3 linked regions of the Arabidopsis thaliana genome follow. The protein of the gene in region 1 interacts with the protein of each later gene in a pairwise test. Each region holds a gene or a part of one and is shown on either strand. Other genes may lie near its edges. The genes, in order: AT4G28330, AT1G03660 and RSH2.

Region 1 (9,005 bases):
ATATTTAGTCTCTTCAATAATTTCTCTTAGGGTTTAGAATTGTTGAGTACTTAGTTTGTTTTTTTGTATTTGTGCTTATAAATATGGATTTATCTATGAACTCTGACCAATGAACTTGAATGCATCAAGATATTTTTACTCACTGAGTTGATTCTTGTATACAACAAAAATGAGAATCAGATTTCACTGTAGAGAAAAAAGACAGTTTACATGTGATTCTCTCAATGTCTGTGAGAACAAAGTTCTTTCAACTTTTGTTCCTTAAGACGTCCTGTGACTTTACCCAATCTGCAAGATTGTTCTATCATCAATTTGTAAATGGAATCTTGTTCATGTGGAACAATCCCAAAGTCATCGTTGAATGTTTCCATGCCTTCCATGAATAGCTGCCACACTAATGTGCCTGCACCTGACTTCTTTCTTTTGGCTGATTTGTAAACCACGTCGAAGATGATTCTGTAGAACTTATCTCGCTGCGATGGTTCGTAGTCCTTGTTCTGGTTTGATAGGCCAAACTCTGTGAAGAGAACTGGCTTCTTTAGTTCTTTCAATCCATCTTCTATGTGAGATTGCATCCATTTCACCACAAACTTTAGCTTCTCTTCAAATGTCTGATTATGAAACCTGCCCATATATACATTTGTAGCAGAATAAAACAAGTGAGAAACCTGCACCTGAAGAGCTCAATGCAATTATATCTTGATTCTCTGATCCAGCTCACTTACCAGTGATCAGGGTAGATATGAACGGATGCAAAATCTATGTTTGAGGAGTTAGAGTTTTGAACAAAGTCTGTTCCGAGCTGGGATGCCCACTGTTCTGGATTAACTGTGAGCCCTTTCGGGCTATTAGGACCATAGAAGCCTTCCAGACCTACTGTGAGGAGATGCTTGTCATCGATTGACTTAATGAATCCCGTCATTTCGTCTATCCAATCCTGTGATCCAGCAAAGAAATACATAAATATATTTGCTGAATAAGAAACAATCTGAACGATTCCAAGTGGCAAGTGAAATGGAATACTCACTTGGAGAGTTTTGCCAGAGACATCAGTCGTGCATCGAGGCTCGTTTATCAACTCCCAAGCGAAAATCGTAGGATCGTTTCTGTACTCTATTCCCGTTACAGAGTTCTTCCTGGTGAGCAGAACCTGCGAATTAGGAAATAATCATTCAATCTTTACTCATTAAACTTCCTCTCACTATCACTCAATGATTAAAATGTTCAATCATAATCAGCAAGAGACCATTACCTTGAGATAATTCTTGAAGTAATTGCGGATAGATGGATCAAAGAAGAAGGAATCATTGGAAGAACTAAGACCAACACCTTCTTGCCATGCCCATTTCACATACTGAGTCTTCCCTCCATAAGCTTGCAAGTTGTTCACTAAGCTAAGCAACAATCTAACATCATGCTTTCTCGCTTCTGCAATTACATGATCCAAAGCCTAACCAACATTATACAAATCCCATTAAACAAGGACAGAGAGAGATCACCACATAACTGAAATTATAAAAAAGAGGAAGAATCATCAAAACCTGAAAGACTCGCTCATCGAATCGGCCAGGAGAGATCTGAAGAGCATTGTAGCCACCGTCATTGAAAGCCCAAGTTCTACAAACAGTGAGACCCATTTTAGCTCCAGCTTCAAGCATTTCACCGACAAGGTTTCTGCTATGTTCATCAACCGCATGGTCCATGAACCAATACGAGTTCCACCCATTTACATAAAGAGGCTTATCATCCACCACAAACTGAGTTCCGTTCCTTTTCACAAACCCTAACTTTGCTTTCCCTTTGTGATTCAACCACAAATCTCGAAATGATAGATAGATGAAAGCTGCACATATAAAAAAACCTAGAATTCGTAGCATTGGCCTGTTCCTTGTGGGAACCATGCTTCTGCCACCTCCTGCTTCACTGCTTCACACACACACACACAGAAATTTCAAACCCAGAATTGGAGAAAGAGCTCCTTTTTTAGTCGGTGCCCACCCAGAAGAAAAAGTCTGTGCCTTGTTCCGTGAATTTCTCTGAAACCCAAACCTTTTATAAAACCCAGACGGAAAAATCAATCGTTTGTAGAAAATTAGCAAAGATTTGAAAAAATAGCTCGCTCAATAACGCTTTAAGCAAACAAGGGAGATACGAACAAGCAGAAGAAATTGAATAATCACAGACACAGATCTATGTATCTTTGTATTTATATTAGTTGTTTATTAGTTATTTAGTTTCACTGTATCTGAAACTTAAAGGACCCAAATTACTATATTTTTCTATTAATTTTTTTACAAAAAAATAATATTTTTCTATTAATTCTAATTTTCTTTTGTGAAAGAAGAAAATAGCTTGAAATAGCCCTTTTGTATTTTACCTTGCAAAAGGGACAAGGCATAATGTGATGTTTTAAAAAAAAAAAAATTACACAAGGTATGATTTTACACTCTATTTCGTAAGTTGAAATTACTTATAAAATATCTTCATAAAAATTGGATATTTATAAATAAAAAAATGGTTGAAGGGGAAAGAACAGAACTTGACCCACCAAAGAAGAGGAAAAAGCACAGGAATTAACCTGGTATTTAGATTTAGAACTAAAAGAGACTAATATGTTGTTGGAAACTTTAAAAGAAGGAATTTAATTTTGATGAGTATCACAGGAAAAAAAATACATTTGAATCTCTTAGGAAAAAAAATAAACAGGGCCACATGCGTTGGAGTGTCATCAACTTCAGATATTTGAGAAAAAATGTTCATTGTTCAATCATGTGATGTGAATTGTGAGCCCAACTCATTTAGAACATACAAAGGTTAATTCTGAGAAGACAAAACAAATCAAATAATTACATTTACATAGAAAATATTTAGCTTCTGCATAAATTCAACATATTCAGTAGCATATTTATTTCTTTGTTCTCTTGAAAATCACTTTTGAGGTGTTCTCCACGTTGTTTATGATGATAAAAGAGCATAGATAGGCTTGACAATTACATTTGTGGTAAGATTCTTTTTATCCTTGTTGTTTAGTCAAAATTGTATAAATTACAATGCTAAATTATGTGAACCTGTTCATCACAGTCGTCTCCGCTTTTGTATTTTTCTAATGTTTTGTTAAGTTCTTAGAATATAGGGTAACAGTACTATCTATTTTCTCTGTCGACATTAGAAAACTTGATGCGTGTGTGTGGTAAATACAATAATAAATAAATAGAAGACAGAAGTAAAATACTTTGAATGCTGTCGGTGACTGCTTTTATTAACAGTTAACACCCAAAGAGTCATTTTAATAATACTAAGGAACAATGTACAGTATTAAATTTTTTTGGATATTTTGCTAGCTATTTTTTGTAATGCAAAGTGTAAAGTTATGTATTAGCCATCTAGTTTTGCAATCAAATTAGTGTAAAGGAAAAAAAAAGAGAGATAAAAGCAGCCTTACTGCTAATTTTGGACCATAATCATTTAATTATTATATAGTATTAGTATATCTAAAGGAGAAACATTCAAACAGACCAATTATTCTTTTGAAGGCCATGTCATGATTTACTACCACCAACCAATGGCATTCGATAATATTTGAAGACAAAGCAAACCAAATCAAAGTAACAATACTAACAGATTTTTGAGAATTACTCATTGTGGATAAAGATTCAAGAGCATTGAGGATCGATTTACTCATGAAGGATCCAGAGCATTGAATGTATGTACATATTTTGTCAAATATTCATAATTATATCTTTGAATTATCGTATGAACTTTTATCAAAAAAAGAATTATCGTATGAACTATGCATTGACTTGGATTGAGCATCTTCTTACACTTGTTATTATTGCTACATTATGAAAAATTGGTGCAACTTATCATCTTTTAAGCTTTTTACTAACCAACTTCAGCTTGGACCATACCTAATCACATGCACTTCCTCCTTCAAACACAATTTATCGTCTGGCCTAGTAGATACTGTATTTAATACGTTGTCACTAAAACAGTTCTCCACTATATACGATAAAATGGGCCATTAATGGTAACCCGTAAGCCCCAATGGGCCTTCTAACCCATATTATAGTTCAGGTTTCAGAAGCTCTTCCATGGACAGAGACAGAGAATGACCGACAAACAAAGAGACCAAAAGAAGAATCTGTGTTCTCTCAAATAAATAAACAAAAGTAATGTAAATTACTTCACGTGTCGGTATTGTGACGTGGAAGCATTCTCTCTGACATCATCAGAAAACACATCAATCCAACAAAGAAGATCGATATTTTCAGATTCAAGAAATCAAATCTTGTTAAACTAAAGTACAAATAATAATGAGGAAAGATTTCAATATACTAGCTGTGAATGTTTTCGTTAATGACAAGAATTCAAAAAAACGAATCAAGAAGATGAAGAGTAAGAGTTAAAGAAGACGAAGTAAGCAAGAAGAGCACAAAGAAGAGCCACAAAGTTTCCTTCTTTAAGAAGAACCCTAAACACAAAACCAGCGATCTCTTTCGTCACTTTCCTTCCTTCAATCACCACTCTCTTCCTAGATTTTCCGGCGAACGCCATCGTCACCACCACTGATATCCAGATCACCACGATCGCAGGCACGGCTATGAACAGCGCCGCCGCCATAGATAAAACTCCGAACACCGCACCAAGAAGCACCGACGCGTAAATCGCAGGCAAACCAGATGATGTCTGATGATTCTCTCCGTACCAATTAACTATTGAATTCAACGAATTCCATGAAGAAGACAATAGGATCGCGTAGACTACAAGAAACAGACAGGCCCATGTTCTTCTCTTGCTTATAACTCTCAAAAACAACTTGTACGAGGTCATCGTCTCTGGTTCTTCCTTATCCGCCATATTTGAGAACACCAGATCTGATCTTATGATTCTGTGTCTGGTTTGGTGAAGTTATGGTATATAGTAAAAGAGCCTTCTTTTGTACAAGCTTCTTTCTTCTTCTGATTCCTTTTTTGGGGTGAGTGTTTGCGGTGAAGAATTGTGAGAAAAGGAAAGTGATCGTACGTTCTTTTTAGTTTATACTTAAGCCTAGTCGAATCTGATGTAACGTGAAGTACACGCTCTTGCTGATTAGGCTGTGTTTGTCACGTGCCTCTTTTATTAGCGGTCCAGTTAAAGTCTTTGCCTTTTCCTGCAAACTGACAGTTGGAGAGCTCTGTTTCCATTTTTTCTAGTTTCACTTTTGGCTCACCTCCCAAACTAACCGTTTCATAAACCAAAGTGATTAGTGATTAATTTGTGTAATACTTACACTGTTTTTCTTAAAAGTTAACACCCAAAAAGTCAATTTATTATGTAAGGAACAATGTATCAAGTTTTTTTGGGTATTTTGGAAATAGTTAATTTTGTATAATGCAAAGTGTAAAGTTGGTTATTAGCAATCTAAGATCTTGCGATCCAATTTACTAGTGTTAAGGAAAGAAAAAAGAGAGATAAAAGCTGCCTATAAGCTATAACTGCTAATTTTGGACCATTATAATTTTATTATTATATAGTATATCTAAAGGGGAAACATTCAAGCAGACCAATTATTCTTTTGAACTACCAACCAATGTCATTCAATAATATCTGAAGACAAAGCAAACCAATTCAAAGTAACAATACTTAAAGATGTTTGAGAATTATACTCAATTACTCATTGTGGATCAAGAGCATTGGAGTATCTTTTTGTCAAATATGCATCATTATTACTTTGAAAACTATGCATTGACTTAGATTGAGTACCTTCTTACACTTGTTATTAATGTTGTATTCTGAAGAATTGGTGCAACTCATCACCTATGAAGCTTTTTTACTTACCCAACTTCAGCTTGGACCATACCTAATCACATGCACTTACTCCTTACACAATTTTTCTTCTTCTTCGTCGTCACATTCACAATATATCTGTTTCACAATTACTAGGCTATCATCATCGTACTCTAGTATTTGGCATCTCACATAGTTTAAATATATTTATATCAAGTATTCAGCTGATAGAAAGTTATAAGTTAGATACTGTATTTAACGTTTTCACTAAAACAGAAAATGAGCCATTGATGGTAATCAGTAAAGCCCAAATGGGCCTTCAAACCCATATTATAGTTGAGGTTTCAGAAGCTCTTCCACGGAAGAGACAGAGAATGACCGACAAACAGAGAGACGACCAAAAGAAGAATCTGTGTTCTCTCTCAAAGAAATAAACAAAAGAAATGTCAATAACTTCACGTGTCGGTATTGTGACGTGGAAGCATTCGTTTTGACATCATCAGAGAACACATCAATCCAACAAAGAAGATCGATATTTTCAGATTCAAGAAATCAAATCTTGTTAAACTAAAGGACAAATAATGAAGAAAGATTTCAATATATACACACTTTTTTTTTGGTATCAATGTTAAGTTTAAAAAAAAGAAGACGCAAACATGCAAAGAAGGGAATCGAACTCAACACCCAAAACTTGCATGGGGTGTTGTACTATTTTACAACATATACCATAAGATAAGATGTCAATATATTAGTTATGAATGTTTTCGTTAATGACAAAATGCAAAAACTGAATCAAGAAGATGAAGAGTAATAAGAGTTAAAGAAGACAAAGTAAGCAATAACAGCACAAAGAAGAGCCACAAAGTTTCCTTCTTTAAGAAGAACCTTAAACACATAACCAGCAATTTCTTTCGTCACTTTCCTTCCTTCAATCACCACTTTCTTCCTCGACTTTACGGGGAACGCTATTGTCACCACTACCGATATCCAGATCACAACGATCGCTGGCACAGCGATGAACAGAGCTGCCGCCATAGATAGAACTCCGAACACCGCACCAAGAAGAACCGACGCGTAAATAGCAGGCAAACCAGATGATGTCTGATGATTCTCTCCGTACCAATTCACTATCGAATTCAACGAATTTCTTGAAGAAGACAAAAGGACCGCGTAGACTACAAGAAACAGACAGACCCATGTTCTCCTCTTGCTTATGACTCTCAAAAACAGCTTGTACGAGGTCATCGTCTCTTGTTCTTCCTTATCCGCCATATTTGAGAACACCAGATTTTCTTATGATTCTGTGTTGGAATTGAAACTTTGATTAAACCTGAAAAAGAGAAAAGCTTCAAGTGGGAAGAAGATGAAGAAAAGAGAAGAACCAAAAGCAAAGCAAAAGGAGAAGAAGAAGTTGTCGAAGAAGAAGAGTCAACAGAAGAGATGAGAAAGTCAAAGATGAGGCTATTGGGCTAGAGTGAAGCCCACATAGTAAATTAGTAATTGTGTGTTTTGGTTAGTAAATGGGCTATTATTAGAGTTGAGCCCAGATTTTGTGCATATGGTGTGCTTATAATTAAGCTAAGCTAGAGTAGCTAAAGAGTAGTTGTTAAGAGGAGTTGTGGTGTAAGGTTTAGTAGTTTAACGTTACTTGTGGTTTTAGTCTAGTCCTTAGGAATAATCATGTCTAAGTGGGAGTAGTTTTAAAGCTAGAATGTTAAGTGTGTGAATGTGTATCTTGTGGTGAAATACCACTATAAGTATGTGTATTGTGTCTTGTAGAGTTATCCTTGTGATCCATTAGTACAATGTAGACAACTAAAAGAAAAAAAAGAAAAAATCGTTTCTTGTGTTTCTCTCTAAACAATAACAAAAACAGAGAGTGTAACAATGAGAGAGAGACATAAAGAATGAGAGTTCTAACCTAGTGTAAAAGGGAGGTAACATTCGGTGTCTGGTTTGGTAAAGTTATGGTAAATAGTAAAACAATATTTGCAATGTTGCACACTGTCAACATCTCCCAAACGCACCGTTTCATAAACCAAAGTGATTAGTGATTGATTAGTAATACTTGCACTGTTGCACATAGTAATAAGAGAATATCAACTTCAATGTTTTTGAATTGAACAATGAACCTACCAAAAAAGTAGTTACTGTTAGGCATTTGACATGATGATTTTAGGATTAATATATACTAGGTCCTATTAATACTATGATGCTTACAGGTGACGAATAATTTGAGTTATGTGCGATATGTTTGAAAGAATTAAAGAGGAGAATCAAGAAGAAGATGAATATTTGACATTTCAAAGCTGACTTTTTTGACGAATAAGTTCATCATTATTCACACCTATAAATGTGGACAGCGAAATACCAAGTCCAACAATTTCACGATTAATTCCAAGTGGCTTGGATCAAGAAATATACAAAAACAAAATTCCAAATGCTTAGGAAAATAAATAAACGAGAGATCAAATTATCACGGCGGATATTATTTCGTCCACATTTGTTGTTCAAACAGATTTCTAACACATATAATTAGCATATATACATTAAACAACATTATCTCCTTAATAATTTTGACTCTGGAACAGATCTTTCCAGTTTCAGACAATATATTTGAACAATCGGTTCGTTGAATCGAGAACAAACCAATCAAATCTCTTTTGACAAAGCTCTTCTTCTTCTTCCCATAAAACTTCACAACGGCACACGTCTACGAAAAAACCTCTCTCAGTCATCATGTTCTCTAAAGTTTCCATTCTTCTCTTTTCCCTCGCATCCCTACTCTTGTTCCGATCAACCACAGGCATCGAATTCATCTACAACTCCAATTTCACCACAACCAACACACTTCTCCTCGGCAACGCCACTGTTAAATCTCCACCGTCGATCCTCACCCTCACCAACCAAACCACTTTCTCCATCGGACGTGGCCTCTACCCTTCAAGAATCAACGCCTCCTCCTCCTCTGCCTCGCCGTTACCTTTCGCCACATCATTCATCTTCTCCATGGCTCCTTTTAAACACCTCTCTCCTGGCCACGGCTTCGCCTTCGTCTTCCTTCCTTTCTCCGAAACCTCCGCCGCAAGCTCATCTCAGCATCTCGGCCTCTTCAACTTCACCAATAACGGTGACCCCAATAGCCGAATCTTCGCCGTTGAATTCGATGTTTTCGCTAACCAAGAGTTCAACGACATCAACGACAACCACGTCGGCGTCGACGTCAATTCTCTCACTTC
Region 2 (10,389 bases), on another chromosome or scaffold:
TCTAAAGGAGACGACTTTTACTGGTTCTTCATTTTCAAACCATCTTAGAGCTGAAAAGATATCCACCCTGTTGACCATCAAGGTAAAGTCAATCACCCTATACGATGTGAAATTCTCAAAAAAAGATATCGAAAACGTCCTGAGGTTTATACTCTGTTTCGTTGCAGGAACAGAGAAGACAGAAACCGCGATTTTCCACCGGTATTCGTGCACAGACAGTTACAGCCACGCCGCCGGCAAACGAAGCATCGCCGGAGCAAAAGAAGACTGAGAGAAAAGGCACTGCAGTGATCACTGGAGCTTCGTCTGGTTTAGGTTTAGCTACGGCCAAAGCTTTAGCAGACACAGGGAAATGGCATGTGATCATGGCTTGCAGGAACTTTCTCAAGGCCGAGAAGGCAGCGAGATCTGTTGGAATGTCCAAGGAAGATTACACAGTGATGCATCTTGATCTTGCTTCGCTTGAAAGCGTGAAGCAATTCGTTGAAAATTTCCGGAGAACAGAACAACCACTCGATGTTCTTGTCTGCAATGCCGCGGTTTACCAACCAACTGCTAAAGAGCCTTCTTTTACAGCTGAAGGCTTTGAGATAAGCGTTGGAACCAACCATCTCGGTCACTTTCTTCTCTCAAGATTGCTTCTTGATGACCTGAAAAAATCTGATTATCCATCAAAACGTATGATCATCGTAGGATCTATAACAGGTAAATAACACAGACAACTTGTCCATTTCCACCAAGATAGTTCCTAGTATCAAACAATGAATGTTCTTTTCTATGTTCTTGCAGGAAACACAAATACTTTGGCTGGGAATGTACCGCCAAAGGCAAACCTTGGAGACCTAAGAGGCTTAGCGTCAGGATTGAATGGGCAAAACAGTTCAATGATAGATGGAGGAGAGTTTGATGGAGCAAAGGCTTACAAAGACAGCAAAGTATGCAATATGCTGACAATGCAGGAGCTTCACAGACGTTACCACGAGGAAACAGGAGTCACGTTTGCTTCTCTTTACCCTGGTTGCATCGCTACAACAGGGTTGTTCAGAGAACACATACCGCTGTTTCGGCTTCTTTTTCCGCCTTTTCAAAAGTATATCACCAAAGGTTACGTATCTGAAGAGGAAGCTGGCAAAAGACTAGCACAGGTCAGTTTGCATTGCAAATCCTTTCTAATATATGTATAACAGATTATTGATTGATACTGAGGATGTGGTTTTGTTTTAGGTTGTGAGTGACCCTAGTCTTGGGAAGTCAGGAGTGTATTGGAGTTGGAACAATAACTCGTCTTCGTTTGAGAATCAGCTTTCTAAAGAAGCAAGTGATGCGGAGAAGGCAAAGAAACTGTGGGAGGTTAGCGAGAAGCTTGTTGGTTTGGCATGAACTCAAGATTTTTGATATGCAAATTCATATAGATTACTATGTTTTGTGACATGTACAATAAGTATGATCAATCAGACTAATCATTCGAATGCATTTCAATAGAGTTAATCATCGAATTCGAATCTGAAGACACTTACAATTAGACTGATGATTCGTAGATTGCTCCATAGTTGAGATGGGGACATGAATCGTTACTGTTGTTGAGACACGACCAACGAACTGCATCGTAATCCCGAGTAAAATTTAACCGATAAGAGTCTTCGGTCTTAGAGAATCTAACATCTTTCTTCTCTCTTCGAGAATTACCCGATGATCGGAATTACAAAACGGTTAACACCGGCGAGAATTGGTGGGATATCATGTCGTGGATCTTTTCTAGTGTGCCTTTTCTCTAACACGTCGTCGTTTTGCCTCATTCTTTAACAGATGTCGTTTAAAATTAATTTAAAGTACAAAAGAATGCGGTTTGGTGGATTATGTCGTGGATCTTTTCATAATGGGCCTTTCTTACGACCTAATTTTTTAACACGATGTCGTTTAAATCGATTAAAAGGTTTTAGAAAAATGCGGTGAGCGTGGATCGAACACGCGACCTTCAGATCTTCAGTCTGACGCTCTCCCAACTGAGCTATCCCCGCTTGGGATTATTTGATAAAATATTACATTATAATACTTACAAAAACGTTTCAAAACACTATCAAATGCCATTTCTCATTTTGGTCGACCATCGATGATAAGATTAAAAATCTTCTATTATGAAATCTTACACCACTTCCTAACATGAAAACGATTAAAAATCTCATTCTATATTGTGAAGAAGTTGATAAGTTGATGGTCCCAAGATGATTTCATCTTGCATCGTAAAATATCAAAAACTCGCTAGACATATGTAATATGTTGATGTAGAGAAGTAATCAATGAATGTGTACAAGGCATATCAAGCCCAAGCCAAGATATGGGAATACATATATAACCCCAAATCCAATGATTCAATCCTTTTGGGCTAAATAGAGTCATCAAAATCTAGGTACATTCTGTAAGCATCTCTATCAGCCGAGTAGTAGCTTTTCACTAGACAGTCTACTTGGAACCCAAGCTTTTTGTACAGATTCACCGCAGAAGTTCTCGTGGGGTCGACATGAAGTGAAACCCGTTGCACCTTTCTGCTTCTGCACTTGTCGATAGCCGCTCTCAACAATGCTTCTCCATGACCTTGTCTTCTGCAATTCTCCTTCACTACATGATTCCAAAACAACAGAAGAAAGTAAACTTGGGATACATTCTTCCTAATGTTTTTGCTCTTAACTTGCCTAATAAGAAAAATTCCATACGTGTTCTTGACTTATGAGCTATCTCCATTAATCTTTAAGCATGCAAAACCAAAGCTAGAACAAGGGCTTTGTCTAGTCAGAATTTCTATTGAAAGCTCTCGAATTTACCAGAATCATTGGTCCTTGACTATATAATAATCTACAGGTTAATTTATCAAATGGTTGAAAGATTTTTCAGTAGAAGTTTGGCAGAATAATTCCACTTCTTCTCTAACGAAATTATATTTTCTGAATTTTATCACTGAGTAATTTCATCGAACAGTTGGCGGACGTTTGTCTATACCTGCGAGCTTGGTGATTGAAGCGGAAAGCGAAGATGGCCAAGAATACATGGCATAGCCTACTGTGTCTCCTTCAGCATCCACGTATAGCAAACCGGCGTTTTTCTTACGCAGCTCTGCATCGAAAGTTTGAGCGAGAGATTCGTGTTTAGGGAACGTTTTCTTCTCCAGCTTCACGATATCTTCCACAACTTTGGCCCAACTGGTCGACCCTCTAATCAGCTCTACCACAACTCCTTTGTCCATTGTACAAAAGATTCGATTTTGTGGAATCTCTCGTTGGTTTCGCAGCCGGTGAGAGCGAGTGAGCCAAGGAAATTGTGATTTGATTTTGATGAAGGTGCGTAGCGACGGCGGGGACGACTTTTAGAAACTATTTGAAATTGTGATTTGACCCACAAATTTAACTTTTGTGACAATTTAGTCCCCAGAAACAGAGGAACTGTATCAGAGACCACACCAAATTAAAAGACAACATATTTGATCAATCACTGTGAACGAACTTATGAAAGATTGCAGATAGAAACAATCAAGAGCTTGAATGTGTAATGGAAAATGTTCACAAACCTACATACACATCACTTATGTGCTTTGGAGCTAAAGACATGGAAGGAATGCCATGGAAGGAGCATCAATACAAGACAAACTCCAAATGCAAATGCAACAACCATAGACCAAAAAGCAAACATGATAAGTACCATGGCTCGTTTCATAGCTTGCTGTATCAGAGGAATATCACCCAGATGTTGTGGCCAAATAAGATTCATTGTAGCTATGACAGACAAGAGCACTGGAATGCTATTGCAAACCAGAAAAACTATGAACACTGCTTTCTTGACCAAACCTGTGATGCCTAAATCTGGAGCAGAACTGGTGTAGATCTTTGTAAATGTGAAACCCATAACAAATGTCACAACTGCTACAATTGTTGTACCACCATAAGCAATAAGATACGTTCTTGTAGTTTAGATATTCTGGGACGCTGTGAAGCACTCAAGAGAATTGGTTGTGTACCATTTGGTGAACTAGCAGATCCCAAAGCCATATCCAAGCTTATTATATCTCTGAAAGATTGAATTAAACGAGACATGATGATAGGACTTCACAAAAACATGTTTTAAAAAGCAGATTCAGAAATTTTATCATAAACTTACTCTCTTTTTCCAATTGAAACCCAAAAAGAATAGTTAGAACTTAAACTTGAAAATACACACTCAAAGATTACCTTAAGACGCTTTGAAATCTAGGTGATGAAGGAAGACGAAGAAAATAATGTTGAAGTTTTGAACTTGTAGCAACCAAAATATTTAATCCTAACAAGTCATTGACTTAATCAAAATAAGAAAGGAGAAGTCTGGATGTGCGTACCAATCAACGACGATGTTTAGCTTGCCGAGCAAGCAATTAAATAATTGAATTAAGGTCGTTGACTCCAACGCAAAAAGTCGATGATTCAAAGGTTGGGTTTTTGTCTTTATCCAAAACAACCTTATAGTTTTAAAAATATAATTTTAAAAACATTTTAAAATAAAATAAAAATAAGTGTTAAAAATCTAAATTATGTGTAAACTATATTGAACCTAGGACACTTCTAAGGGGTTTGGATGTTGTGTCTAATTAGTTTAACACAATATTTAAAAATTTAACATTTATCCAAAAAAAAACTTATAGTTTCAATAGTAATATAAAAATATAATTTTAAAAACATTTTTTAATAAATTAAAAACAAATGTTAAAATTTTTAATTATGTGTAAACCATATTGAATTTAGGACACCTCTTAGGGTTTTAGATGTTGTGTCTAATTAGTTTACATAACATTTAAAAATTTAATATTTATCCAAAAAACCCTTATAATTTTAATAGTTATATAAAAATATAATTTTAAAAACTTTTTATAATAAAATGATGATAAGTATTAAAAATTTAAATTAAGTGTAAACCATATTGAACCTAGGACACCTCTTAGGGGTTTGGATGTTATGTCCAATTAGTTTACACAAAATTCAAAAATTTAACACTTATCCAAAAAACCTTTATAGTTTTAATAGTTATATAAAAATATAAGTTTAAAAATATTTTTTAATAGAAGAGAAACAATTGTTAAAAATTTAAATATGTGTAAACGAAAACAGTTTGTTAAATAAAATTAAAAACTACTGTTGAAAATACTTTTATTTTTTTGTTGAAAACAAAAACATTTTGTAATTTATTATTTTTAAAAAATGAACGAATAATAGAAGAAATAACTTACATGGAATCGTGTTAAAAAAAAAAAAATAATAATAATAATAATAATAATAACTTACATGGAATAAGTGTTGAATTGTTGATGAACAGTGTTTGTCCACAAATCTAGTAGGCGATAACTTTCAATAGGCTGAAATTGAATAAAACGAAGAAAGGAGTGAATATTTGGTTTAGGGCTAAATTTAGAGACAGTAGACAAAAAAAAAAAAAGAGAAAAGCATAGAGGATTTTGGAAATTACTTACCGTTACAGGTCAAGAAAGAGAGGACTATGACTTTATGAGATTGGTGTTACTGCATCATCCCTAGCCCTAATGGAATTGGACAAGGAAGAACGGTGATTGTAAACGACGATTGGGCCTTGTTCTCTCCGGCGATGACTGGAATCAAACGCCGACGACGTTTATTGTTCTAAATCTTCTTAAACTTCAAACCATCAAAGATAAACATAATCCAAAACAAACCCTATTAAAGATTAAACAGAACAACGAAACTCACAATTAAAAGCAAAAGAGATTCACACCAAAATAGTTTCAGATAACACGTACCGACTGAGTCAAAATCCAATCGATCCATAGATCCTCCGAAGAAAAATAGAAATGAAAGATGGTTTCTTTTGTTTTCGTTTTGCAGAAGAAGAAGAAGAAGAAGATGAATGAAGAATTAGTTATTTTACAAGGAAGAAGAGTATTTATAAGCAAACGTTGTTCAATAGAAAAAAGGAAATTTCTATTGTTTCCTTTTTGTTTTCGACTAGGTTAAGAAAAAGGAAATTTTAATTAGGCTGCAAAAAAAGAAAAGGAAATTTCCTCACAACGGTCATATTTGTATCTTACTGCGTAACAACAATTTATCAAGACAAATTATTTGAGGTTTCTTATTTTTGAAACAGAGAATTTGGCCTTGAAAGCGAGAGGAGCAAAGTCGGGATCATGCATGTGAGCTCTTTGCAACAGCCAACGGTCATATTTGTCTCTGTACCAATTTTTGTGGTTACTTAGTAAAACCACAATTACAAACTCGTGAGATACAAAAACTGTTAAAAACAAACAGAACACTAACCATCCATCATCCATGATACAAAACAGAGCAGAATAGAACAGAACAGAGCATTCTTTAACCATCCATGTTGTTGCTGCCTTCGCTAACAACCAAAAGCATCAAGAAATAAGGAAAGTAGAAGATATGTCTGAGAAAGCCATGTCTTGTAGACGAGAAAGCGTAAGGAATGATAAGTAGCATCAGGAATACCAAGAAGGCTGAATCTATGGCTAATACAAGATGGGAAAGCCATGGGAGATCGCTCACCACAAGAGTAAGTCCAGCCACAGATGCCATCATCATTGATACAACAGCTGTTAACAGAAGTGGTAAAGCTAGTCGAAAAGCTTTCTTTGTCAGAAGTGCATCACCCAGTTGTGCCCATATTAGAGCCATTACAGTTACCACAGAAGTGCACATTGCAATGTTGTTCAACAACAGAAATACCTTAAAATTCAACTTATTGACCAATGCAGCCATGCCTAAATGTGGAGCAGAACTCATGTAACCACCGGGTAATGTCAAACCTGCAGCGAAGGTCACGGTTGCTACGAGTGTTGCAGTCACCATAAGAGTATTGACACTATCCTTGTATCTTTCTGGACTTTGTTTGCTACTCTGTGACACAGTCAAGGGAATCAGGTTTGGGCCATGTGGTGCTCCAGCAGATACCAAAGCCATCCAAATCAATCTCTGTAAACCAATAAAAAAAGTTACATGAGACTTTATCATTAACTACATGAATCTTCAAATTTGACATACCTTGTAAAGTACGTAAGCGTTATTGTCCTTCATCGTCTCAGCAATATCTAAAGCTGTAAAGCCTTCATTGTTGAGTGCTCTGAGGTTAATCCCATCGTTCCATGTAAGCATATTCACAACTATCGGGTATCTGTGTTTAGTGGCTAGGTGTAACGGTGTATTCCCATTGATATCTTGTTCATTCATCATTCTTTTCCCTTCATCAAGTTTTAAAAGATACTTGACAACTTTCGACTTACCAGCTATGGCAGCAACGTGAAAGATATTCTGACATTGATTGTTAAGTAGCTCTCTTGAGTCAGGACAGTGTTTAAGAAACTCCTTAATGATTCTGACATGTCCTTCCTTTGCCGCCATATGAATAGGAGTGAAGCCATCATCATCAGCGACATAACAAAGGCTTGAAGCTGCTTTGTCAAACTCTGCTAGTATATAGCGAATTCCCTCATAACATCCCATTGATGCTCCATAGGAAAGACATGTCCTTCCTTCTTCGTTGCGTAATTCAATAAGTCCTGGATCTTGTCTAAGAACAATACCTAGGATATCTGTCAAAGCAATGACCAAGAAATAATTAAAACATATAAAGAACACTTGGCGTACAAGGTTGAACAAACATAGAAACAAACCTCTTCTATTGGCCTTCATTGCTGCATGTATAACAGATTTTCCACTGAACATCGAAGCTAGTATAGATGGGGAAGATGAAGATTCAAGCATTTTAAGCACGAGCTCGTGATATCCAGCTTCTACAGCCATGTATAATGGAGATGCTTCATCATTGTTCTTATCAAATGATACATCATGCTTCACACTTACTAGGCAGAAAGCCACCTCTACATGTTTTCCTTTCAACGCGGCATGTAGTGCAGTATCTCCGTTCTTGCTTTTAGCGGCAATAAACGCATCATAGGAAGAAGACTCTGTAATGAATCGAACAAGAATCTCAACAATATTGAGACTGCCTGCTCTGGCTGCAACATGAAGAGTTGTCTCACCCATCAGATTCACATTTTGTAGAAGATTTGGGAATGTAGAGATTATAAACTCCACTATATGGACATGACCCAAAGCAGCAGCAATATGAAGTATTGAATTCCCTTGATTGTCTACGAGTCGTTGAGTGACCTTTACGTCATCGTTTATCCTTTTCAGGAGGGAGACTTTGTCACCTGCTCTTACAGCACACAAAATCGCTGGATTCATAATCTCAGATTCATCCTTGTCTTTGAAAATAGTCCACTGATCTGGATCTGAAAGGGAGCCAGATGTGGACGAGGAGCTTACTGTTTCAGATTTACTGTCACACTTCATACTCTTGTTCAGTGCTACTTTCACTTTAAAATCTCCTGATCAAAAAGAATAAGTAAGATTTGATAATCCTAAAACTTCAGGAATATTAGACGACATAAACATCCACCTAAATAACTTTAAATTAATGCAGCATAAGAAAAAGTGAGAATTACTTGAAGCAGAGAGACAGATTCGAACAGAGAGAGAATCTATGCGCAGTACTGGGTAGATTGAATTACTTCTTAGGTTATGTAGAGATATAAATGTGAGAGATATATTCTCTTGATGACGTGAAGAGGATTAGCGTCGCTTTTATTCTAGTTCTAAACAACATCCGTAAGGTTCAAAAGATCAAACTTTTATCATCACAAGGTTTTGTAAGTTTGTGTGTAATGCTTTGACCTTGTCTCAGTTACGCAATGTTATTCAATGTTTTCGGTAATCCGACATTAGAACAGTATCCTTAAGGTTCTTCTAAAGATCAGACCTTTTTGTCATCACAAAGTTTTGTAAGTTTGTGCGTGTAAATGCTCTGACCTTATCTCAGTTTTGCAATTGTATTCAATGTTGTTAGTTAGAGATTAGAATTTTAGCCCCTACGACCAGGCCTCTTCAAAGTTCTAACCGTGTAAATTGGTAACAATAATAAAATGTTTTCGTAGACTTCAAATTCTGAAAACCTGAGACATCATATTATCATACAAGTCTAGATGAACAGTGATGAGTAGATAGGTAAAAGGTAGAGAGTCGAGAGATACAGAGAAAAGAGAACAGTGACTAGTAGTTCATTACAAGAATTTGTTGATGCTGGTTGCTAAAGTGTCTTTAGAGACAGCACCGATGATTGTATCCTTCTTCTCACCATTGACAAAGATCATGATAGTTGGGATGCTTCTAACACCATACTGGCCAGGGGTTGCAGGAGACTCATCAGTGTTAAGTTTGTAGAACTTGAACTGGCCGGCGTACTTTTGCGCGAGTTCGTTGACAATGGGATCAATCATTTTGCAGGGTCCACACCATGGTGCCCAAAAGTCGACAAACACAGGCTCATCAGCCTTGAGAACTAGAGAGTCCCATGTTGAATCGTTGACCACTGGAACTGCATGGATCATATAGCAAAAAAAAACCAAGATTAATGACTCACCATGAGTGTAGAATTATGAATGAAGGGATAACAAATCCAACAAACAAGCATCTTGAGTTTCTATAGATAGATACTTAGAGATCCTAATACATATGTGCATAAATAACATGACAAAGAGGTTCAAATCCGAAGAAACCTTTTTCTAGTTGTCTTCCAATTTCACTACTTGAACATGGAAGTCATTTCATAGACACTAAGAGAGAGCCCCATTAGAGTTAACCCATAAGAATTCCCAGAAACAAAACGCATAATCGAGAAATAGCATTGATTTACAAAGACGAGAGAACATACTTCCTGTAGCAGTGTCCTGAGCTTCACAGATAACGCCTCGTCGTAATCGGGAAACCCTAGAATTCTTCGAGAGTGAAGATAGAGAAACGCGAGTCCTCAATCCGCTCGATTCCGGCAACACAGAGAACATCTGTCGAGTAGAGAAGGAACCCGTCGGCGAGGAAGCGATTCTCATCTCTGACCGGATAGAAATCGGCGGACGGGAAGTACACGTGTAAGCAGCCATTGTTGTGTAGCGAGAGAAGAGATAGAGAGAAGCAATCTACACACACGATAGATTCGATTTCTTCTTGAGTCCCAAATGTAATAATATCCAAACGAAGAAGATAACAAAAACAAAACCCACGAAAATGAGAGATAGGAGAAGATTAAGAGGAGTGACTGATTTTTTAGGAATCCTTTTTTCTTTAGAGCTACTATTGTTTAATTTTATCCGATTAAATAAATTCCCTATTATTCAAGCTCTAAGACTATTGGGCCGCAGTTTCATTAAAGCCCATTAATATTTCTCGTTTTCGGAAAAACAAAAAATTATCGAACCAATTAACTTGAAGTGTATCAATCAAGGTTAAAGCTCACTGGGCCTTAGTTTCATTAAAGCCCAATAGTATTCAC
Region 3 (10,897 bases), on another chromosome or scaffold:
ATTACCAAATATCGAAAGCTTTTGAAGAACATTCTTGTCAATACCCTAAAAACAAAGGTAAGATCAATAATAACATGTCTTTAAAATTTATTGTCTATATTCTCAACTGTTTTTGAGGGGAAAAATAGAGTTCATCGTAATCTTGATGAGGTTTCACTGATGTCATATTTGGTATGCAAGAGTAAATTGTTTTTTTTTTTTTTTCAAATGTACAAATGTCAAAAGAAAGAGAGAATCTATCTCCCAAGTTAATTAAGAAGTGTACTTTCATAGGATTCCAACGAGGTCCAGGGGAGAAGGAGATGCGAAAAGTCTTCGCTCACAAGATTCCACACATTAACAAAAGTCCGCATTCTAGGGACCTACAGAATATTCCTCAATTTTAATCAACACTTGAATTGTTGCTTAGTCCAAATAAACGGCTTAACTATTTAAATATTCTGGTGGTTTGTGTTTAATGAACGGTGGTTATAAATCTTATCAACAAGTTTTTGAACTTAAGCAAATAAAACCACTAATATAGAAATATATATATATATATATATATATATATATATGTGTGTTAAGAACTATATAGGAAAATATTATACGTTTTTTTCAGGGACTATACAACACACTTATCAGATTTCCATTTCACTCATTTGATCTATAACTTTGACATTAACATCTCACATTCTATTATAAAGTATTAACACTGTAATCTTCTTTTTTTTGCTGATTTATTTTAGGAGGTGGTCATATATCTCAACCTTTAGAAAATGTACTTTATATGTCAAATATAAAAATGAGTGTGTATCTATCAAAACGAATACAATTATATTATAATAGAAATAGTTACATAAATCATGGGTTTTAATAATATAACCGAAAGTATATAAATCATCATTATGATTAAATTTTAGTAGGTCTGCCATTATAAAATCGAAATTTATCTTAAATTTAGAACTCTTTCATTATAATTTTTAAAACTTCACACAGTTAATTGAATGTAAAAAAAGAAAATCTAAGACTAAATCACATCTAAAAGTTTTCATTTTTCAAGGAACATTTAACATAAAACGACTATTAATTGATATCATAAATTTTGTCTTTTCTATTTTGAAAATGTTACTTTATGCAATAGATAAACTTAATGTGTAAGCCATCGAAATCGATGAAAAAAAAATTCAAAAACAGGATTTTTTTGTTTTGAAAATCTTCCAAATCTCTATAAACATTATAAATAGCAAAAAAAAAAAGAGAAATATATATATATATATATATATATATATATATATATATGATTCAAAAGATTTTCAAAACAGAAAATATATCTTTTTCGAGTTTATCTCTTTCATCGAGTTCGATGACTATCAACTTAAACATTAAGTTTTTATCTAGTGCATATAGTGATATTTACATAAGAGAAAAACAAATTTTGTGGTATTAATAAATAGTCGGTTTATGTTAAATGTTCCTTAAAAAATAAGTTTTTAAATATAATTTCATCTTAGATTGTCTTTTTTACATTCAATTAAATGTGTGAGTTTTCAAAGATTACAGAAAAATAATCATAAAATCCAAGATGCGTTTTGAATTTTATAACCATGAAATACATATAAACCTATGAAAATTTAATCATAATGATACTCATACACTTTCAGTTATATCTTCAAAAATCATGATTAGTGTGTATAATTGTATTCATTTTGATGGATTCACAATTATTTGTATGTTTGACATACATAATATAAAATATATAAATTCCAAAAGGTTGATATCACCGTTTCCAAAAAATAAACAAGCAAAAAGACAGATTTACGTGATAATACTTCATAATAGGATGCGAGATGTTAGTTTCAAAGTTATAGATCAAATCAGTGAAATGAGATTTTGGTAAGTGTGTTATATAGTTCTTAAAAATCTGGAATCCCGTATCATCTTTTCTTATATAGTTCTTACATCTTAACATATATATTTGTTATTTCTATATTGGTGGTTTTATATTTGCTTGAGTTCATAAACTTCTTGATAAGATTCATAAACCGTCTTTGAAAACAAACCATCAAAATGGTCCCTCTTCTTGTTTCTTTGAAAAGATCATTTCATACAAGCGATATAGACAAAGCATTTAAGAAACAACAAGTTGAGAAGTTTTGTAACACGTACGTTGTTGTAACAAAAAAAAAAAAAAAAAAGAGTAAAGACTTTGCCAAAGTTTTCGAAGACTTTACCTTTGCCATGGTTAAGGAGCCCAAAACGAAGCAAGCAACTGATCCCCGAGTCTCAAGTATTGACTTCGAAAACAAATATTAATATATATAATACACATATATATATATATATATATATATATGTAAAGCATATTAATTGATATGTAAATAACTATTATAAGATTTTAAGAGTAAATAAATAGTATGCCAAAACAATAATTTGAATACTTATACTACTATTTTGAGTTTTTGATTTTCAATTAAACATTCAATGACAAAAACAAAAAGGGAACTAATTGAATTATTGCATCTTATGCATATACTATATTTCATAGATCCAACATTAAAATAAACTAACTGTTATTTTAGACCATTGTTTTCTTTAAAATAATTGTTGCTTTTTGCCCACAGAAATTAATAATGTGTTGTTTTAGGATTTTAGTGTAAATTCTGATAAATAATGTCTAAACTTTCTCTATATAAATTAATGAAAATATGAAATAAATTTTTTCTTCTTAATTCGCTTGAAAATAAAAAAAAATGACATGAATATGGAAAACATCATTGTGAATTTTTTTGTTAGTTAGTCAGTTAAAGTAAAGATTATGGAAGTTTTGTTTTGGTAAACTTACAAAAACAAATATTAATTGTAACAAAAATTGATTTCAAACTCTCTCTCTTTCTCATTTATATAACTTTATTTTTCACAAATCACAATGCACAACTCAAAAAAATTAGAATGTTTAAAGTAGATAATGCAAACAAAAAACTCTCAAATCGATTTGATATTAATTAAATGAATCTCTTGATCTTCAAATTGAGTTACAATCTAACCTTTTCTATTTAGATAAAATGTGAAAATTTATTTTAGAACTTATACTGAACACAGAGACGTAACGAAGAGAAACAGAAAACTAAAAAATATGTTGTAAATACGACAAAAGACTATAAAAGTTAATGACATTCACGAAATTTACACGTTCTAATGGTCGATGACACAAGGAAACTTTCAATGTTGCCACAAGTGAATTGAGATCTCAAGTCAGCCTCCAATACTTCTGAAAGAGCGGTGCTAACCCTCTTAATACAAAATTTATATATCTAAACAAAACACCGTACTAAACCAAACAATCTTAGATTCAATCGCGGTGCTTACAATCTAACTTAGTTATAACAAAATTTATATATCTAAACGAAAACTAAACACCACATTAAACTCAACCATCTTAGATTCAATCAAAACCAAGATTTAATATATTTTATTTTTCATCTAGAAAGAAAAACCAGAAAACCTTTATGTAATGATTCAAGTTTTTTTTTATACCATCACACTAAAAATAAAAAGATAGCATTCAAAATCCAAAAATAAATAAATATTAAAATGATTACATCAACGCTTCACAAGAACATAAATCCATGAAAATGTCACAGCTTTAACACTCTCCTTCTCTATAAATACTCATAACCTCAAACCTGAGATTCCTCATTCCTTAAACCCCTAAACCTCCAAAATTCTCTGAACCTTCACAAAGATCACAAAAATGGAGGTCGAAGGCAAAGGAGGAGAAGCTGGAACCACCACCACAACCGCACCTCGGAGGTTCGCACTTCCGGTGGACGCGGAGAACAAAGCAACAACTTTCCGACTATTCTCAGTCGCTAAACCTCACATGAGAGCTTTCCATCTCTCATGGTTTCAATTCTTTTGCTGCTTCGTCTCCACTTTCGCAGCTCCGCCTCTCCTCCCTGTTATCCGTGAAAATCTTAACCTCACCGCCACCGACATCGGAAACGCCGGAATAGCCTCTGTCTCCGGCGCTGTTTTCGCTCGTATCGTCATGGGCACGGCATGTGATCTTTTCGGTCCACGTCTAGCCTCCGCCGCTTTGACGCTCTCCACCGCTCCCGCCGTCTATTTCACCGCCGGGATAAAGTCTCCGATCGGGTTTATCATGGTGAGATTCTTCGCCGGATTCTCTCTCGCCACTTTCGTCTCGACTCAGTTCTGGATGAGCTCCATGTTCTCTGGACCCGTCGTGGGTTCGGCTAACGGAATCGCCGCCGGGTGGGGTAACCTCGGAGGAGGCGCGACGCAGCTGATCATGCCCATCGTGTTCTCGTTGATTCGTAATATGGGAGCCACCAAGTTCACCGCGTGGAGGATCGCTTTTTTCATCCCCGGTCTCTTTCAGACTCTCTCTGCTTTCGCCGTTCTCTTGTTCGGTCAGGTAACAAACCAATCACACTCACCGGTTCAGTTATTTTGGTTTTTTCAACTAATCCGGTTTTGAGAATTTATCACCAAGTTATTTTTTGTTTTGGTTAAATTTACTTTCTTTGTATAGTCAGTTTATCCTGTTCTATATAAATGATTAAACCGATTCGTTTAGGTGCAAACCCGGTTTATTGATACCGGTTTGGGTCGTCTAGTAGAGTCTTTAGTCGGTTAATCATGGTCGAGTTTCAGTGGATATGGACAATAACTGTTTAATCATCTAAGTTGTGTCTATTACAAGGAATAGTAAAAGGATACATTTGTTTTGTCTTATGTTTGCTATATGTTTTTGGAAATGAGTAGGATCTTCCTGATGGAGATTATTGGGCGATGCATAAATCTGGAGAGAGGGAGAAAGATGATGTGGGGAAAGTGATATCTAATGGAATCAAAAACTATAGGGGATGGATAACAGCATTAGCATATGGCTATTGTTTTGGAGTAGAGCTTACCATTGACAACATCATCGCAGAATATTTCTTCGATAGATTCCATTTAAAGCTCCAGACAGCAGGGATTATAGCAGCGAGTTTTGGACTAGCCAATTTTTTCGCTAGACCTGGAGGAGGAATTTTCTCTGATTTTATGTCGAGACGGTTTGGGATGAGAGGAAGGTTGTGGGCTTGGTGGATTGTGCAAACATCAGGAGGTGTATTATGCGCATGTCTTGGCCAGATTTCTTCCTTGACAGTGTCTATAATTGTTATGCTTGTCTTCTCTGTATTCGTCCAAGCCGCTTGTGGACTTACCTTTGGCGTTGTTCCCTTTATTTCTAGAAGGTAACATACATTTTGGTATTGAGTTGCTTGATTGGTTATTCAACATTTTTGCTTACAAAAGTTTGTTTATGCAGATCTCTTGGGGTGGTATCGGGAATGACTGGTGCGGGAGGCAATGTAGGCGCGGTCTTAACACAGTTGATATTCTTCAAAGGATCGACATACACGAGAGAGACGGGTATAACTCTAATGGGGGTAATGTCAATCGCATGTTCATTACCAATATGCTTGATTTACTTTCCGCAATGGGGAGGTATGTTTTGTGGACCCTCTTCCAAAAAAGTAACTGAAGAAGACTATTATCTCGCCGAATGGAACGATGAAGAGAAAGAAAAGAACTTACATATCGGAAGCCAAAAATTTGCGGAAACCAGCATTAGCGAAAGAGGTCGAGCCACAACGACTCATCCCCAAACTTGATAAATTCATGGTGTTTTTTTTGTTTATATGTATCGACTGTTGACTATGTTTTTGTCTTCTTCTCTTTTGTTTTTCTTAAGAGTTTTCAAGAACTCAATTTCTTGATTTTATTTATAATTGTGTGATAAGTTGTGTATGTTATGTAAAACCTACTACTGGTTACTGCTTTCTTTGTAATGGAAGGCTTTTGTAAATGTTTGTTCATCATGGAATGAACAAACGTATTTTCATTTAGTATACATATTTTGTTTTTTAGTTATCTTTTGTTGATCGTGATAATAATGATTTGACCACAAGAATACAAACCAGTAGATTCATAATTTATTATACACTGTTAGTCTGTTAACCTTGTAAACCAAAAACGTTTCGATATTCATATGCTCTTTTACATCAAACACTCGGTTATTTGTTTTATCCAAATAACTATGACAATTACATAGTTACTAATTGGTACTTTATTTCATTATCAGATATTAACTGAGTTGAAAACAAAATTAGATAGCAGTTGAATTAAACTTTCTATTAGTATTACATCATTAAGTGTTTTTAGGTGACCAAAAAAAACAACAATTACATTCTTCCCACTTTACAAATACTTTTAAAACAAAACAGCTTGTCTTTTATGTCAAAGTTCATTGAAAGATGAACTTACTTTGGTATATTACAGATACCATGAAACCTTAAAATCTTCAATAGATCACATCTTTTTAGCCCAACATCTTTATTTTATTTACTTTTGGGCATATTTAGCCCAACATCTTTGGCAGGGAAGAAAAACTTTGTAATCTTCTCGCTATGCCATTGGGCTAGAAAGGCCATTATGGGCCTATTCTTATTTCATTATGTCTCTAGTGGGCCTACTACTGTCTTTACTATCTTGGCCAATTAGAATAAAATCTTTATTGTATGTTTCCCAATCTACCACATTGTCACAAACACTCACAATAATTGCTCCGCACGTAGCAAGAAGTAGGCCATATGGAGTCCACGACACAAAGATTTGAATGGTCAAAGATATATAACAAAACAAAAGAAATAAAAGAGTTGTCGCATGTTCTTATATAAACGATTTATATATTATAACTGCATTTTACATTATTGTATTGTTTAGCCGAGTCGTGCGAATGGAATATCAAATCGTCATCCTTTTGATTTTGAATGACAATTATACAGTAATGGAGACACACACACAAACATATAAACTATTAAATTCTACTGTGAAACGCTAAGTCAATAAGATTAACTGGTGTAAAGCTGTCTGATTAACAAAAACTTAAGTGTGAAAGCTGTCTTTTACCACTCTTCCAAACACTCGTAAGTCGTACCAAATCTAGTTCTTTATTTATTTTTTAATCGTTCTCTATATTATATAAAAGAGAAAATAAAACTATTAACTTCTATATAATTCATAAACCATTGATTCCTAAAGATTACAAAATCATTGATCTCCTTCTTCTTCTTTAACTTTAAGCACTCTCTTTCTCTCTTTCTCTTTCTCTTGTCGTCGGAGAATGGAGAAAGATAATGACTTCAAGGATCCGTTTCTGGCGTCAACTGAGGAGGAGGAGCTCGACCCGGCGACCCAAAAAGCATTGATGGAGTATCTTGGAGTCGGAAGCAGAGCATCTTCTCTTGTCTCCTTCTCCTCTACCGCCGTCGATATCCCTCCAATCTCCGGTGTCGGAGACTTTGTCAGAGAGTTTAGAATCGAGTCTAGAAAGCTATGGAAACTAGCTGGCCCTGCCATTTTTACAACGATGAGCCAATACTCTCTCGGAGCCGTCACTCAAGTTTTCGCCGGACATATTAGCACTCTTGCTCTTGCCGCCGTCTCCATTGAGAACTCCGTCATCGCCGGCTTTTCATTTGGTATCATGGTACGTTTTACATTGATATGTCTCCCCTGATCACATTTTTCCCTTTCTGTTATGGAACGTATACATTTAACAAATCTTTTGCATCTCTTTATAGACTAAAATAAATGATTTATTATACTTTCAAATCATTTTTCACACCAAATTCAAAGTATTAAGAATCTACAATCGATCAACTTTAATCTTTTTATATAACAACCTATATATATCATTTTGTTGTATATTTGCCATACTATAAAACTAGTTTAATATGATTTTGGTAGTTTGTATGCAAATTTCTTACGGCTATTATTTGTATGTATGGTGCCTTTAGCTTGGAATGGGAAGTGCGTTGGAAACGCTATGCGGACAAGCGTTTGGAGCAGGGAAAGTATCAATGCTTGGCGTTTACTTACAACGCTCGTGGGTTATTCTAAGCGTAACCGCTCTCTTCCTTTCTCTAATCTATATCTTCGCGGCTCCAATCCTGACCTTTATAGGCCAAACCGCTGCAATCTCGGCCATGGCAGGGATTTTCTCCATTTACATGATCCCACAAATCTTTGCCTACGCTATCAACTTCCCAACGGCGAAGTTTTTGCAATCACAAAGCAAGATCATGGTCATGGCTGGAATATCCGGTGTGGTTCTTGTGATCCATAGTTTCTTCACGTGGCTAGTCATGTCTAGGTTACACTGGGGACTTCCTGGTTTAGCTTTAGTGCTTAACACGTCGTGGTGGGTCATCGTTGTTGCACAACTTGTGTATATCTTTAATTGTACGTGTGGAGAGGCTTGGTCTGGATTTACGTGGGAGGCTTTTCACAATTTGTGGGGGTTTGTTAAATTGTCTTTGGCTTCTGCTGCCATGCTCTGGTGAGTGCAAACCTTTTTTCTCTTCCAATTATTTTGGTCCGATTTGATCCAACCCCATTAATGAATTCATATTTTAAATACAATTTATTTACTTTTGTAGTTTGGAGATTTGGTATTTTATGGCACTCGTATTATTTGCTGGATATTTGAAGAATGCTGAAGTCTCCGTAGCTGCACTCTCCATATGGTAAAATTTGTTATATCTCTTAAACTAATTAACATCTTTACAACATTTAAGGTTTACATGATTTGTTATTTGATTCATTTATTTATTATCAGAGAGATTCTCTGAATAAAGACTAGACCCAACGTGCGTAGTAGTCTCTTGTTTTGTTTAATAATCAATGTCCTTAATGTATTAAGAATTCAAAATTTTGAATACTTCCACTGCAAAGAAATTTCTAATGATTTGTTTTCCTTAATTAATGGTGTGTGGAATATGAAGCATGAACATTTTGGGATGGGCAGCTATGGTTGCGTTTGGGACAAACGCAGCAGTAAGGTAAATTCTAGCGTGTGAAATAAAACTAACTCTTTACAAATTCTACACATCTAACAAGTGCCAAGCTAATAATACATTTTTGTTGGCAGTGTGAGAGTGTCAAATGAGCTAGGAGCTAGCCACCCAAGAACGGCCAAGTTTTCTCTAGTTGTGGCTGTGATATTGTCGACAGCAATTGGGATGTTTATAGCAGCCGGCCTACTCTTCTTCCGCAATGAGTACCCGGTTTTGTTTGTGGAAGATGAAGAAGTTAGAAATGTGGTTAGAGAACTCACGCCAATGCTTGCCTTTTGCATTGTCATCAACAATGTTCAACCTGTATTGTCTGGTAATATTTGTTTAGTGGACTCCAATAGTCCAATATAATATGGTTGTACATAACGTAAACCGAATGTATATGAGATTATGATAAATTTGATAACGCAGGAGTGGCTGTGGGAGCGGGATGGCAAGCAGTTGTAGCGTATGTGAACATAGCATGCTACTACTTGTTCGGAGTCCCATTTGGTCTATTATTGGGATTTAAGCTTGAATATGGAGTAATGGTAATGAAATTCACATCCTTTTATCTAAAAGTAAAACCTTTATCAAGGAAAGACGAAAGACCGGGGTTTTTGATGTTTTGGAAACCTATTTTGATCAGGGAATTTGGTGGGGGATGGTGACGGGAACTTTTGTTCAATCGATAGTCCTGACTTGGATGATCTGCAAAACCAATTGGGAGAAAGAGGTAAGAAACCAAAACACTTTAAGACCGAATAGTCACGACCTCGCTCACCGAGTTTATTGTTCTAATCTTTTGAATGATATATATATTTGTAGGCTTCAATGGCAGAGGAAAGGATAAAAGAATGGGGAGGAGTACCTGCAGAGAAAGAGACTCTTTTGAACTAGAAAGAGTTATTACTTCAAGACATATTGATGAGTCTTTCAGATCACATTTTTGTATACGAACCTTAAAAGCAAAATTTGGTTCTCTCTTTCTAAAAAATCTGTAACTTGTTATGTCATCAAACGCTGACAAGATATGTTATAACGCTGATAATTATCTATAAACAATTTGACTTTTGAGAATTGGGGTCTTAATGAAAAGTTACCAAATCATTTAGAATAATACTACTCGCTTGTCAGAAGTTGCTTAGTATAGTAGAAACGTGAGGACAACAGCACTACCAGCTTCCTTAATCTTCTTTTCATCTGTATTCGACACAAGCTTAGCCTTGACAACAACAGGTTTATTCTCCGGCAAGAAACCTTTCCCTAAAACCTTAAAATATCCAAATTGAGTAACATCAATCATAGACACATAGTGTTTCGTTGCTTAGTCCATAACGTCCTGAGGAACCATCGACCAAAGCTTGTCAAGATTGACGATCTGGCAGTAAAACTTGTTCCTGAGCTTGTGGAAATACCTCATACCAACTTTAACAAAATATCCAGGATGATACTTGTCGAAGAGGATACGGTGTGATGCATACCACCGGCGTTACCACGACTTCCGGGAAGCTTACGGTGCTTTCCAAAACGACCATGTCCAACAGATACGTGTTCTCTAAGATTTCTTGTCTTCTTCCTGCTAGTCGTCATTTCTCACCGATTGAAATTAGGGTTTCACAAGAAAAAATGGGTATTAAGGTTTATATGTTTTTACGCGGCAAGTAATAATGGGCTTATCATTGGGCCTTAAGAGCGAGAAGAGCCAGAAGAATCCGGTTCCGATTTTTTAGTCAAACCAAATAAAGCCGAAATTAAATTCTGCTGGATTTGGTTTGAAAATTCGTTATTTTAACAGGAAATAAAAACGGTCTAATAAGAATAAAAATCTATTCGAAAAATAAGAACAATTTTTATAAAATAAAATAAAAAAATATATTTAGAAAGTGTTATCTTAGGAAAACTATTCGAAAAAAATATTTAATCAATCATTATCTCTGCCTGATTTTATATGATTTTCACTTTTCTATAAATATTTGACATTTCATTGTAATTATCCAATTGTT

What was found.
Region 2: the proteins of AT4G28330 (region 1) and AT1G03660 interact in a protein complementation assay, tested with the Arabidopsis thaliana proteins (one large-scale study listed by BioGRID).
Region 3: the proteins of AT4G28330 (region 1) and RSH2 interact in a protein complementation assay, tested with the Arabidopsis thaliana proteins (one large-scale study listed by BioGRID).

The regions. Positions count from the first base shown.
Region 1 is NC_003075.7:14,018,072-14,027,076, forward strand, and holds AT4G28330 (pyrroline-5-carboxylate reductase), read right to left. Parts: upstream 5,235-9,005; 5' UTR 4,858-5,234; coding exon 4,381-4,857; 3' UTR 4,209-4,380; downstream 1-4,208. Other genes in the region: MAN5 (Glycosyl hydrolase superfamily protein), read right to left, coding at 222-624, 726-937, 1,028-1,150, 1,253-1,450, 1,542-1,901; AT4G28340 (pyrroline-5-carboxylate reductase), read right to left, coding at 6,559-7,038; AT4G28350 (Concanavalin A-like lectin protein kinase family protein), read left to right, coding at 8,506-9,005.
Region 2 is NC_003070.9:907,866-918,254, forward strand, and holds AT1G03660 (Ankyrin-repeat containing protein), read right to left. Parts: upstream 5,944-10,389; 5' UTR 5,789-5,943; intron 5,731-5,788; exon of another isoform or gene 5,667-5,730; 5' UTR 5,486-5,666; intron 5,372-5,485; 5' UTR 5,301-5,371; intron 4,401-5,300; exon of another isoform or gene 4,218-4,400; intron 4,057-4,217; 5' UTR 3,895-4,056; coding exon 3,571-3,894; 3' UTR 3,445-3,570; downstream 1-3,444. Other genes in the region: POR C (protochlorophyllide oxidoreductase C), read left to right, coding at 1-82, 168-705, 790-1,145, 1,225-1,380; AT1G03650 (Acyl-CoA N-acyltransferases (NAT) superfamily protein), read right to left, coding at 2,384-2,616, 2,995-3,238; AT1G03670 (ankyrin repeat family protein), read right to left, coding at 6,357-6,974, 7,044-7,591, 7,673-8,357; THM1 (thioredoxin M-type 1), read right to left, coding at 9,125-9,438, 9,775-10,000.
Region 3 is NC_003070.9:4,412,672-4,423,568, forward strand, and holds RSH2 (root hair specific 2), read left to right. Parts: upstream 1-7,042; 5' UTR 7,043-7,177; coding exon 7,178-7,543; intron 7,544-7,853; coding exon 7,854-8,395; intron 8,396-8,495; coding exon 8,496-8,582; intron 8,583-8,840; coding exon 8,841-8,897; intron 8,898-8,986; coding exon 8,987-9,225; intron 9,226-9,323; coding exon 9,324-9,442; intron 9,443-9,540; coding exon 9,541-9,627; intron 9,628-9,719; coding exon 9,720-9,791; 3' UTR 9,792-10,013; downstream 10,014-10,897. Other genes in the region: NRT2.5 (nitrate transporter2.5), read left to right, coding at 3,734-4,420, 4,771-5,246, 5,321-5,666; AT1G12960 (Ribosomal protein L18e/L15 superfamily protein), read right to left, coding at 10,036-10,164, 10,243-10,319, 10,376-10,484. UniProt on the Arabidopsis thaliana protein: Positively mediates root hair elongation.